2 linked regions of the Macaca mulatta genome follow. The main gene of each other region encodes a partner of the protein of the gene in region 2 in a complex. Links are inferred from orthologs where the notes say so. Each region holds a gene or a part of one and is shown on either strand. Other genes may lie near its edges.

The links. The genes of interacting proteins can lie anywhere in the genome.
Region 1: the proteins of PTH1R (region 2) and PTH are in contact, whole or in part, in a cryo-EM structure (PDB 9JR3), measured with the Homo sapiens proteins. The link is inferred for Macaca mulatta from reciprocal best matches to the Homo sapiens genes PTH1R and PTH. Residues at the interface, in NP_000307.1 of Homo sapiens: Val31, Met32, Thr33, Lys34, Glu35, Gln37, Ile38, Leu41, Glu111, Trp112, Asp113, His114, Ile115, Ile135, Tyr136, Asp137, Phe138, Arg146, Arg162, Thr163, Ala165, Tyr167, Val171, Leu174, Thr175, Glu177, Glu180, Arg181, Phe184, Leu187; in NP_000306.1 of Homo sapiens: Ser32, Val33, Ser34, Glu35, Ile36, Gln37, Leu38, Met39, His40, Asn41, Leu42, Gly43, Lys44, His45, Leu46, Asn47, Glu50, Arg51, Val52, Glu53, Trp54, Leu55, Arg56, Lys58, Leu59, Asp61, Val62, His63, Asn64, Phe65.

Annotation. Positions count from the first base shown.
Region 1 is NC_133419.1:51,927,449-51,933,241, forward strand, and holds PTH (parathyroid hormone), read left to right. Parts: upstream 1-2,177; 5' UTR 2,178-2,264; intron 2,265-3,918; 5' UTR 3,919-3,923; coding exon 3,924-4,009; intron 4,010-4,112; coding exon 4,113-4,374; 3' UTR 4,375-4,731; downstream 4,732-5,793. UniProt on the Homo sapiens protein: Parathyroid hormone elevates calcium level by dissolving the salts in bone and preventing their renal excretion. Acts by binding to its receptor, PTH1R, activating G protein-coupled receptor signaling.
Region 2 is NC_133407.1:110,216,328-110,220,566, forward strand, and holds the start of PTH1R (parathyroid hormone/parathyroid hormone-related peptide receptor), read left to right. Parts: upstream 1-1,439; 5' UTR 1,440-1,806; intron 1,807-3,069; exon of another isoform or gene 3,070-3,223; intron 3,224-4,239.

The sequences.
Region 1 (5,793 bases), on a different chromosome or scaffold from region 2:
CTCCGAACTTAAAAGTTAGAAAATAAAAATCCATTTGTGGTTGGGTATGGTGGCTCATGCCTGTAATCCCAGCACTTTGGGAGTGAGAGGTGGGAGGACTGCTTGAGCCAAGGACAGCCTGGGCAATTTAGCTAGACCCTGCCTCTAGAAAAAATTTAAAAATTAGCTGGTTGCGGTGCTGTGTGCCTATAGCCCCAATTACTCAGGAGGCTGAGGTGGAAGGATTGCTTGAGCCCAGAAAGTTGAGGCTGCCATGTCCATGCCACTGCACCACTCCAGTCTGAGAGATAGAGTAAGACCCCATCTCAAAGAAAAAAGAAAAACCATTTGTATTTCCAATTCTTCTTCTCAACAGAGTATAACAGAAAAATGATACACAAACATCACATGTAGAGTTTACATCAGAAGAGGTCTTTAAAAAGATCAAGACAACAGATTTTTACAGTTAAAAGAGACCTCTTGGTTATCTAGTTCAACCTTCATCTATGTATGAATCTCCATAGGACACCTGATAAATGCTTATCTACCTTCTACTTGAATATTCTCAGTGATGGAGAAATCATTATTTGAGAAGGTACTTGATTCCTTATTTTGACAATTATAATGTCCAGTTTAAGCCCTATGAACCCAGCCCTTCCTTCTTAAACCACAGAGAATACTCCTTCCTTATGGTAACCCTATAACTAAACACAGCTATAAAGTCATCCCATCTTTCTTTCCTCAGACTTTTCTAATTTCATTCAACTACTTCTCATGTTATAGTTTTCAACATTTTCACCAAACTGATTGATATCCTCAATATATGTTCCCATTTGTCTCTACTACTTCTAAAATGGAGCCTGGAGCAACACTCTAAGTGAGGTTTACCCAGAGCAGAGAATTTCCTAGGGAAGGACTAGTATATATCTCTCATTATAAACTCCATATGGTTACTATTCAAATTTGTACCGGCTCTTACCTAAGGTAGAGTCAAACCTTGACAATGGCTAGTAGGAAAAGGATGACATGAAGCCAGAATGGGACCAGAGCTGAGAGAGCAGATCCCACTCTGTAACCGGATCTTTGGTGGGAAAGCAAAGCTGTCTAAAGGAGTCCTAGATATATCAAAGACATTCAACGTGTTTTGATAGGTGGACCAGGCAATTATTGCTGGAGCAATATTTGAAGTCAGACATGTAGCAGCATCATGCCCCATTAGGTTTTGGAGCAGGCTCTCATCATCCCTTAGGGAACATGAGAATAAAGACTTAACTCCTGGGGGAAAATGCTGCAATGAGTTTTTGCTGTGATTTCAGATGACTTTGCAAATTAAAGTCAAGACTGGAGTTCAAAGAAGGGCTATATTTTTAGGCAGAAACTGAGGTAGTAAGAATCGGGTGTCATAAAGACCTTTGTTGAATTCCATCTTTTCTGCTTTCCAAGCCTAAGTTTCCTCATGTAAAAATGGGGATAAGTACCTACTTTAGTACTTTAAGTACTAACTTTAAAGGACTGCTGTGAAGATCTAGTGGGATAATGTATGTAATTAGGCATGCAGTTAGTGCTTATCAAATGTTGTTATTACAGATTAAGATGCACAAATAAAATATAACTTAAATAAATTTTAAAATAATTTCACTTTTGAAGCTTTTAAAGTAATTATGTACCAAGAGAATTTTCTCCAATTATTTTTAACAATTCCTTTAAGAAAAGGGCTACATCTTTTTGAAAGATGACCAGAAGTGACATGGATTGGTTGAAAATGGCTTGTAAAATAAGCATAACATCTATGATTTATTATCATAAAATTGTACCAACAGTATGGTTATAACAAATATACTTATTTTTGGATTTTATTTTCAAGTAAGATAATGACTTTATCATATATCTTTGAAATCAGTCTTTTCACAGTTTAAATTCAGATTCATTAATCCAGGTAGAATTTTTCTAGGTGGCATAATTCTGTATTTGTTAAAAGTCTTTGCATAAGCCCCTTTTCAAGCCAAATGCTGTTTTCCTTTTAGTATCCAACTAACCAAAACTTAAGAAGAGTGTGCACCGCCCTGTGGGTGTGTGTATGTGCTGCTTTGAACCTATAGGTGAGATCCAGAGAATTGGGAGTGACATCATCTGTAACAATAAAAGAGCCTCTCTTGGCAAGCAGAAGATCTATATATAAAAGTCACATTTAAGGGTCTGCAGTCCAATTCATCAGTTGTCTTTAGTTTACTCAACATCAGCTCCTAATATACCTGAAAGAAGATTTTGTTCTAAGACATTGCATGGTAAGTAATCTTAAAAATTCACTTCTGAATCTCATGAGATTTTTGATAATCAAGTTATTATTTAATGTGTACCATTTCTACAAATACCATGTTATTTCTTCAAGGTAAAATGCTAAGAGTGTTATGTTTAATATAAAATGTCACATACAAAATAAATTAATACCATTAAAATACTCTCAAATCACAAAATACATTGTGATTAAAGTCTTCTGAGATACCTTGCTTTTTAAAAACTCATCTGAAATTATAGCAAAAAATCATTAAAATTTGGCATGCTATGCTTTAATATAATAGTATTGGTATCAAAATTTTGAAATAAAACAGGCTGATGGTGAATGAATAGTTCTGGTTTAAATAATCACTATAAATGTATTAAGTGGAGTTAATATTCTATTTTTCCTGCAGAGTATTCTTATTTAGATTATTTATTTTATGGCTCATAAAGAGCCCAATCTGTATACTAAAGTTGGACAAGCACAGTTTGACTAGTGAATATTTATTCCTTTCACATAAATGACAGTTCTATTCTGAAAACTGTATCTCCTTAATTTCATGAAATTGTATTACATGAATTTAAGGGTGTTTTGCAACAATTTTTCAGCTTTTTTTCATGATATTCTTATAAGAAGCCCATATTCCTGTGAAGACAAGGAAGCAAAGCAGAGATATCTGAGGTCACTAGATGAATATGACAAAGTAAGATTAGACTCCAGTGCTCCTGTCCTCCAGCTACAGTGCTTGTTTCTAACATAAACAGAAAAAGAACATTTTCATGTTGCTCCATCAATAGCTTTATATTGTAGAGTAAACAAAAATGTAGCAGATTATATTTCCTATGCTACTTCTAAATGATGAGTTTCCCTGTAAAACATAACTACTCTATGTGTATGTTAAAATGTAGTACACTGAGCATTAAGGAAAAGCACTTCTATAATAACAGCCTTTGCAAGTACTGAAATGCTGATTAAGGCAAGAATATCCTACATCGATGTGAAACGAAGAAAGAGACAAACGTTATATTAAAAGATAATTGTTAATAAAATAGGTTGAATAAATAAAATACAAGCATTCCATTTAGAGATAAAGCTCAAAATCCATATCACAAGTAATCAATCAGATGATTTTTAAATGTTTTGACACATTATTTTTAATGCTAGGAGAAATGTGCATTAATTTAGTGAAAATCTCTAAATTAGCACCTATTTGTTTGGTGTTTATGGTTATTATTACAATGCCTGAAATGAAGTTTACTTAAGAAAGGGATTTGCTAAGTAAATAAACAGTGTTAACAATTTACACTATTAAGAAAATTAGCCATTTTCAAGCAAGTTATAAGCATTTAGGCATAATCAACATAAAATGCAGTGCGGGGGGGCATTCTCAAAAATAAGCTCTTTCATTCCTCTTGTGGCTTAAGATTTATATATTAAAACTTGCACAAGAAATCTCCAAAAGATAGTTAGGAGCATAAAACTAATTTCTAAGTTAAATTATGTGTATATATAATGTATACTAGTGTATCCATAAAATAAAGAGGTTGGTTCCAAAAGCTTCTCATGAAAACCAACCCAATTAGTTAGTATTGCATTCTGTGTACTATAGTTTTGAATATTAAAAGTATTTTAAAATACCTCCATTTTGCCTTTCCTTTTAGTGAAGATGATACCTGCAAAAGACATGGCTAAAGTAATGATTGTCATGTTGGCAATTTGCTTTCTTACAAAATCAGATGGGAAATCTGTTAAGTAAGTACTGTTTTGCCTGGGAATTGGATTTTTAATGTTGACTTTATCATTTTGAAGTGGGGAGCTAATGGGAAGTGGCCCTCTCTGTTTCTCTTCTTCCCAGGAAGAGATCTGTGAGTGAAATACAGCTTATGCATAACCTGGGAAAACATCTGAACTCGATGGAGAGAGTAGAATGGCTGCGTAAGAAGCTGCAGGATGTGCACAATTTTATTGCCCTTGGAGCTCCTCTAGCTCCCAGAGATGCTGGTTCCCAGAGGCCCCGAAAAAAGGAAGACAATATCTTGGTAGAGAGCCATGAAAAAAGTCTTGGAGAGGCAGACAAAGCTGATGTGGATGTATTAACTAAAGCTAAATCCCAATGAAAATGAAAATAGATATGGTCAGAGTTCTGCTCTAGACAGTGTAGGGCAACGATACATGCTGCTAATTTTTCAAAGCTCTATTAAGATTTCCAAGTACCAATATCTCTGATATAACAAACTACATATAATCCATCACTAGCCATGATAGCTGCAATTTTAATTGATTATTTTGATTCTACTTTTATGCATTTAAGAGTTATTTTAATTATTCTTTTCTATAGTTTATTCTTTTTAAAGTATGTTATTGCATAATTTATAAAAGAATAAAATTGCACTTTTAAACCTCTCTTCTACCTTAAAATGTAAAACAAAAATGTAATGATCATAAGTCTAAATAAATGAAGTATTTCTCACTCATTGCAAGTATATCTTTTTGGTTATGATGGATACCCAGATGTTTACATTGATCATGACTAGGTAGAACAATACAAAGTATTTTTTTAATCATGTGCTTCACATTTGGATATTTTGAACATCAACCTTTTAGTATTACCAAAGTACGAGGTTTCCCAATTTTCAGTGGCTAAATACTGTTGTCCTCTTGGTTTCAGGAAAGGAAATAAAATGCTCAGCAAAAAAAAGGGGCATGAAGTGGTCTGAAACTTGAAAAAAGTATTTGCCCCTACATAAAAACCCACTAATCATAGTTCTAGTCTGGACCCAAAATTGCAAGAAATAGAATGTTTATATCTATTAGAAGATAATTTCATTCATTCATTTGTCATTTGACAAATATTTATTTAGTGTTTATTTATTTGTCATGTACTGTCTTAGGCACTAGCATACAACGGTAAACAAAACAGACATGGTTTCTGTCTTCATGAGGCCTAAGATTTAATGGAGAAGCCAGATATTATTAATCCATAATTTAGTTTGATAAGTGCTATGTAAGCACAGCACACGATATTGCAGGAGTATAAAATACAGAGCCCTAATGTACTTAGATCAGTGCTGTCCAACAGAACTCTCTGTGATGACAAAAATGTTCTGTATTCTGTGTTGTCCAATGTGGTAGCCACATGTTCATTTATATAAAATGTGGATAGTGTGACTGATGACTGATTTTTATCTACTTATTTTTATTTTCAATCCCTTGGTCAATTTGAACGATTTTAAAATTTAAATTTAATTTAAAACTAATTTAAATAAAATTATAAAATTAAAAATATGAATAGCCACATATGGTAGTGGCTACTATACTGTACTGAACAGTATAGTTCAATCTCAAGATGATCCAGTTGAATAAGAAACATGAGTAAGAGTTAATTAGATGAAAAGAAGTAGGAGGGTTTCCCAGGCAGGTGGTATAGCATATGCAAAGGCACTTAGTTGGGAGGGAAGATGGCTGTAATGCTAAAAGCCAGGATTACAAAAATGAATAAGATTCCATCTCTGGCCTCAAAGAGTTCATGTTCTAAT
Region 2 (4,239 bases):
GAGGGGAGAAAGGCCTTCAGGTTTTCAGATTCCCAGGTCTACTTGCATCCAAGACTCAAGTGCTTGGGCACTTTACAGATCCCCTTTGAGCCTGAAACTGCCCAACTGTTAACAACAGATCAGGAAACTGAGGCCATGAGGAGGAAGGGGTCTGGCTCAGGGCTCCACACGTCAGAGCAGAACAGGCCTCAGCCTCCTGCTTCCCTGGCCAGGGAGGACGGGGCCTGTGGGCAGAGCAGGGCAGTGCATGTGGACTCAGGGGAAGGAGAGGCTCTGGCGGTCGAGAGCCAGGGCAACAGGGAGGCTTGACAGAGCACAGGGGAGCTCTCCCTCCTTTGGGCACAACTGCCCACTGACTCCCGCTGGTGTGGTCACAGAATGGCCTACGTGTCCCGAGATACCCCTTGGAGCAGTGCACTTCAGAGCAGCTGGGGCAGGAGCACCGTAAGTGCTGTTTGTCATAGTTTCACTATGTCCTCTGGCCAGTCCATTCTGCTTTTTGGTCCCGTTTCCCCCACCTGGAGGCCAGGTATCACCGAGCTCCCTGCCTCCCCGTCTAACTTGCGAAACAAAAAGTACTTTGGAAACTCTAATGAGTGGTACCCTCCCCAGGACCCTGGAAGACCCAGGGAGGGGGGCCCTAGGAACGTGCCCAATGGCTGAGGGTGGTTGGGGCCAGCTGCCTCACATGCAGGGCGCTGGGGGCTACAGCTGGAATGTGCTGAGTGGCAGCTGCCACGTGAATCATTATACCTCATCAGGCTGAGCCTAGGACTTCCAGACACAAACCAGCTCAGACTGGGCTCAGGCAGAAGGGCAGCCTCCAGCCGGGTCACAGGGCTGGGGATGAGGCTTCTGGGATCTTGCAGGGTCTCTGTCTCCCTGTCTGCCCACATCTTCATCCTGAGCAACCAGCCCTGGTTCTGAACACAGCTCGTTCTACAGACCCACAGAGAGGTCATCCTGTCCACAGCCCCCTGCCTTTGGGACCTGTGACGGCTTAAGCAGACCCTGGGCCTGGAAGGGCCTGGGAGGCAGATAGAGAGGGCTTCCTGGCTGACTCCTCACCAGGAGCCCACATTCCAGTGGGCAAGGAGTCAGATATGGGGTGACTGTGGGGCTGTAGGGGTCAGGACACGGGCAGGAGTGGAATGACGCCCCCACCCCAATCTCTTCCGTCTAGGAGCCACTGGGTACCCAGTGCTGGCAGATCAGGCTTTCTTGGGCCTCAGTTGTCCTGCCCGTGACACAGGCAAGAACCACCTCCAGCCCCCCTCTGATTTCTCTGGGTGCCTTAAACTTGAGTGAAGTCACTAGTAGGGGCTGTGTTCATACCTCATGGCGGCCTGATATTCCTGAGATGTGGAAAGGACCAGAGGGTCAGACAGGGACACAGAGACTAAGAGAGAGGCGTGGCAGGGCAAGGGGAGGACTACTGAGGCACACACACATGTCTGGCAGCCTGAGTGGGCCCGGTTACCTGGCAGGCAGACCCATGGGTGCTGAGATGAGGGCCCAACCCAGGGCATCTGAACACTGGCATGCTTGGATCTGTCTCTGTTGCCTCCTACTCCTGACTAGGGGTCTGGGACAAAGTCCTGGGCCAGTGTAGGGCTTGGTAAAAAATAATTAATTTTTCTTTTCAAGTGGAAGCTCTGACTCAGGCCTTTTCCTGTCCTCAGCAGCGCTATCCTTGCTTAGGCCTGAGCCACAGAAGCTGCTCAGGGACTATCCATGGCCTCCCCGTGGCCAACTTGAGTCTGCTCTGCAGTTGTAGGCCCGACTTGGAAGGCCCGTGGGCTCCAGGTGAGTGGGGGCCAGGGGAGCCTGGGGGCCTGAGCACAGCTGGGAGGTCCAAGTCTGTGGTTTCCCCGGGGGTGAGTATGTAAGTACCTGGGCCGGCCGTGCTGTGGGGTAGACAAGACATGCCTGCATGGAGACACATCTGTGGACCTGGTGTTATGACAGCAGGGGGCTTGTAACCATGAGGCCAGCAGGGACAGAAAGCCCATACCTCTAGCTCTTTGGGAGTGCTCCCTGGCTGGGACAGAGCCTGCTGGCCCCACGTGCCCCCATCGTCCCTCCCTTCATCTTCCTGAGAAGCAAGAAAGCCGGGCAGCCGTGCTTCTGCTGCAAGGGGAGGGGGCTGCCCAGCCAGCTGCCATGGGAGCCTCCAGCGACTCCGCCGGGTGTCAGGGGGTGTTTATGAGCAGCCGAAATGGCTGTAAAAGTGGCACCTCGCTTCACTTATGGCCTGGCCATCCCCTCCCCTACTGGCCTCTTGCCTCAAAAAGCTTCCAGAGGGGCCTGGAAGCTGAGAGAGGTCTGGGTGGAGGCACAGCTTGGGGTCAGAGTTCAGCCAGGGGCTAGAAATCAGATTGGGATAAGAACTCAGCCTGAGGCTGGGGCTCATCATGGAGATAGAGCTTAGTCTGGGATCAGGGCTAAGCTTGGATGCAGGCTGACTTTGGGGCTAGTGTTGGGATGAAGCAGTGGGGGAATATAAGGACTCAGAAATAGATAGATGTGAGCCATTAGTCCCAGAGAATCCCTGGTCCGGGCAAGGGCAAGGGGTTTTCTGAGGGAGGGAACCAGGCTGCATTGTTCAGAGAGCTGAGCCTCTGCCTTGCTTGTTGGTGTCTGATGCCCACCCTGGCCCCAGGGTCTGTGTACCTTGGCCAGAGCCCTAGTCACAGTGGGATGGCTGCAGCAGAGGCCTGTCAGCCTGGGGCTGCCACACCAGCAGGGGTGGGGCCAGAGTCCGGCCCCTACTGCAGTTCTGAGATCCAGTGACCACCCTGGCTCCTCCTCCTAGGCCCCAGCCTGGGGATTAGAGACAGGGACTCACTCCTACTCCCCACCTCCAGCCAGGCCTTGTCAAACGCCAGTGAAACTAACACTGACCTGACACTAACCAGAAACTGACTAACCAGGCCCCTGGGGCCTGCTTGTCAAAAAGGGCAAGCTGACTCTGCCAGGTGCTTGGGTGCTACCAGTTAATGTGTGACACCCCCACCCTCATGGTGGCACTTTAACCAGAGGCCTGAGGGTGAGAGAGAGGATCTGTGGCCCCACCCACAGCTGTGGAATGTCCAGCAGGGGACTATGGGGTGAGGCACATGAGTTATGGCAAGGGGAATGCCCTTAAGGGGCCCAGCACCCATCAAAGATTCCTCTCTGCAGCCCTCTCCACAGCCCACTCTGGTCCTCCCAAGTACAAACAGTAAGTTTCCAAATCTCAAGTTTTCCCTGGTGTCAGATCTGAAAAGATCTCCTCCCTCAGCCTCTAGTTTTATCTCTCAGTCCTTCCAATCCCTCCATTAATGTTCTTTTCTCATCACCAAGGGGGAAAGCAGGGTGGGAGATCAGTGGTCACAGAACCATAAAACTGAGAGACACAGAAACAGGCATAGGCCAGGTGTGGTGGTTCATGCCTGTAATCCCAGCACTTTGGGAGGCCGAGGCAGGAGGATTGCTTGAGACCAAGAGTTGGAGACCAGCCTAGGCAACAAAGTGAGACCTCGTCTCTACAAAAAAAAAAAAAAAAATTTAATTACCCAGGTGTGGTGGCTCATGCCTGTGGTCCCAGCTACATGAGAGGCTGAGGTGGGAGGATTGCTTGAGCCCAGGAGGTCCAGGCTGCTATGAGCCGTGACCGTGCCACTGTATTCCAGCCTAGGTGACAGGGCAAGATCCTGTCTGGAAAAAAAAAAAATGCTGGGTGTGGTGGCTCACGCCTGTAATCTCAACACTTTGGGAGGCCGAGGCAGGTAGATCACTTGAGGCCAGGAGTTTGAAACCAGCCTGGCCAACATGTAGAAACCCCATCTCCAGTAAAAATGCAAAAATTAGCCAGGCGTGGCGGTGCACAACTGTAATGCCAGCTACTCGGGAGGCTGAGGCCAAATAATTGCTTGAACCTGGGAGGTGGAGGTTGCAGTCAGCCAAGATCACACCACTGCACTCCAGCCTGGGCAACAGCTCTGTCTCAAAAAAGAAAAGAAACAGAGGCATAATAAAGCTGAGACCATTAAAATATAACACCGAAGAACCACAAGTGTTCTTTAGGTGCCCATTCTGGCACCTGGGCCTCTGTCCCAAGGAGCCTACATACCATAGGAGGCAGCCCTGAAATCACAACCTCCCTCCCCAGTAATGGAGGATGTGGGCACACAAGGAGGGAGGGAAGTGTCCTTTACACCAGGCAGAGGAGTATGATCCTGGCAGAGGAAGCAGCAA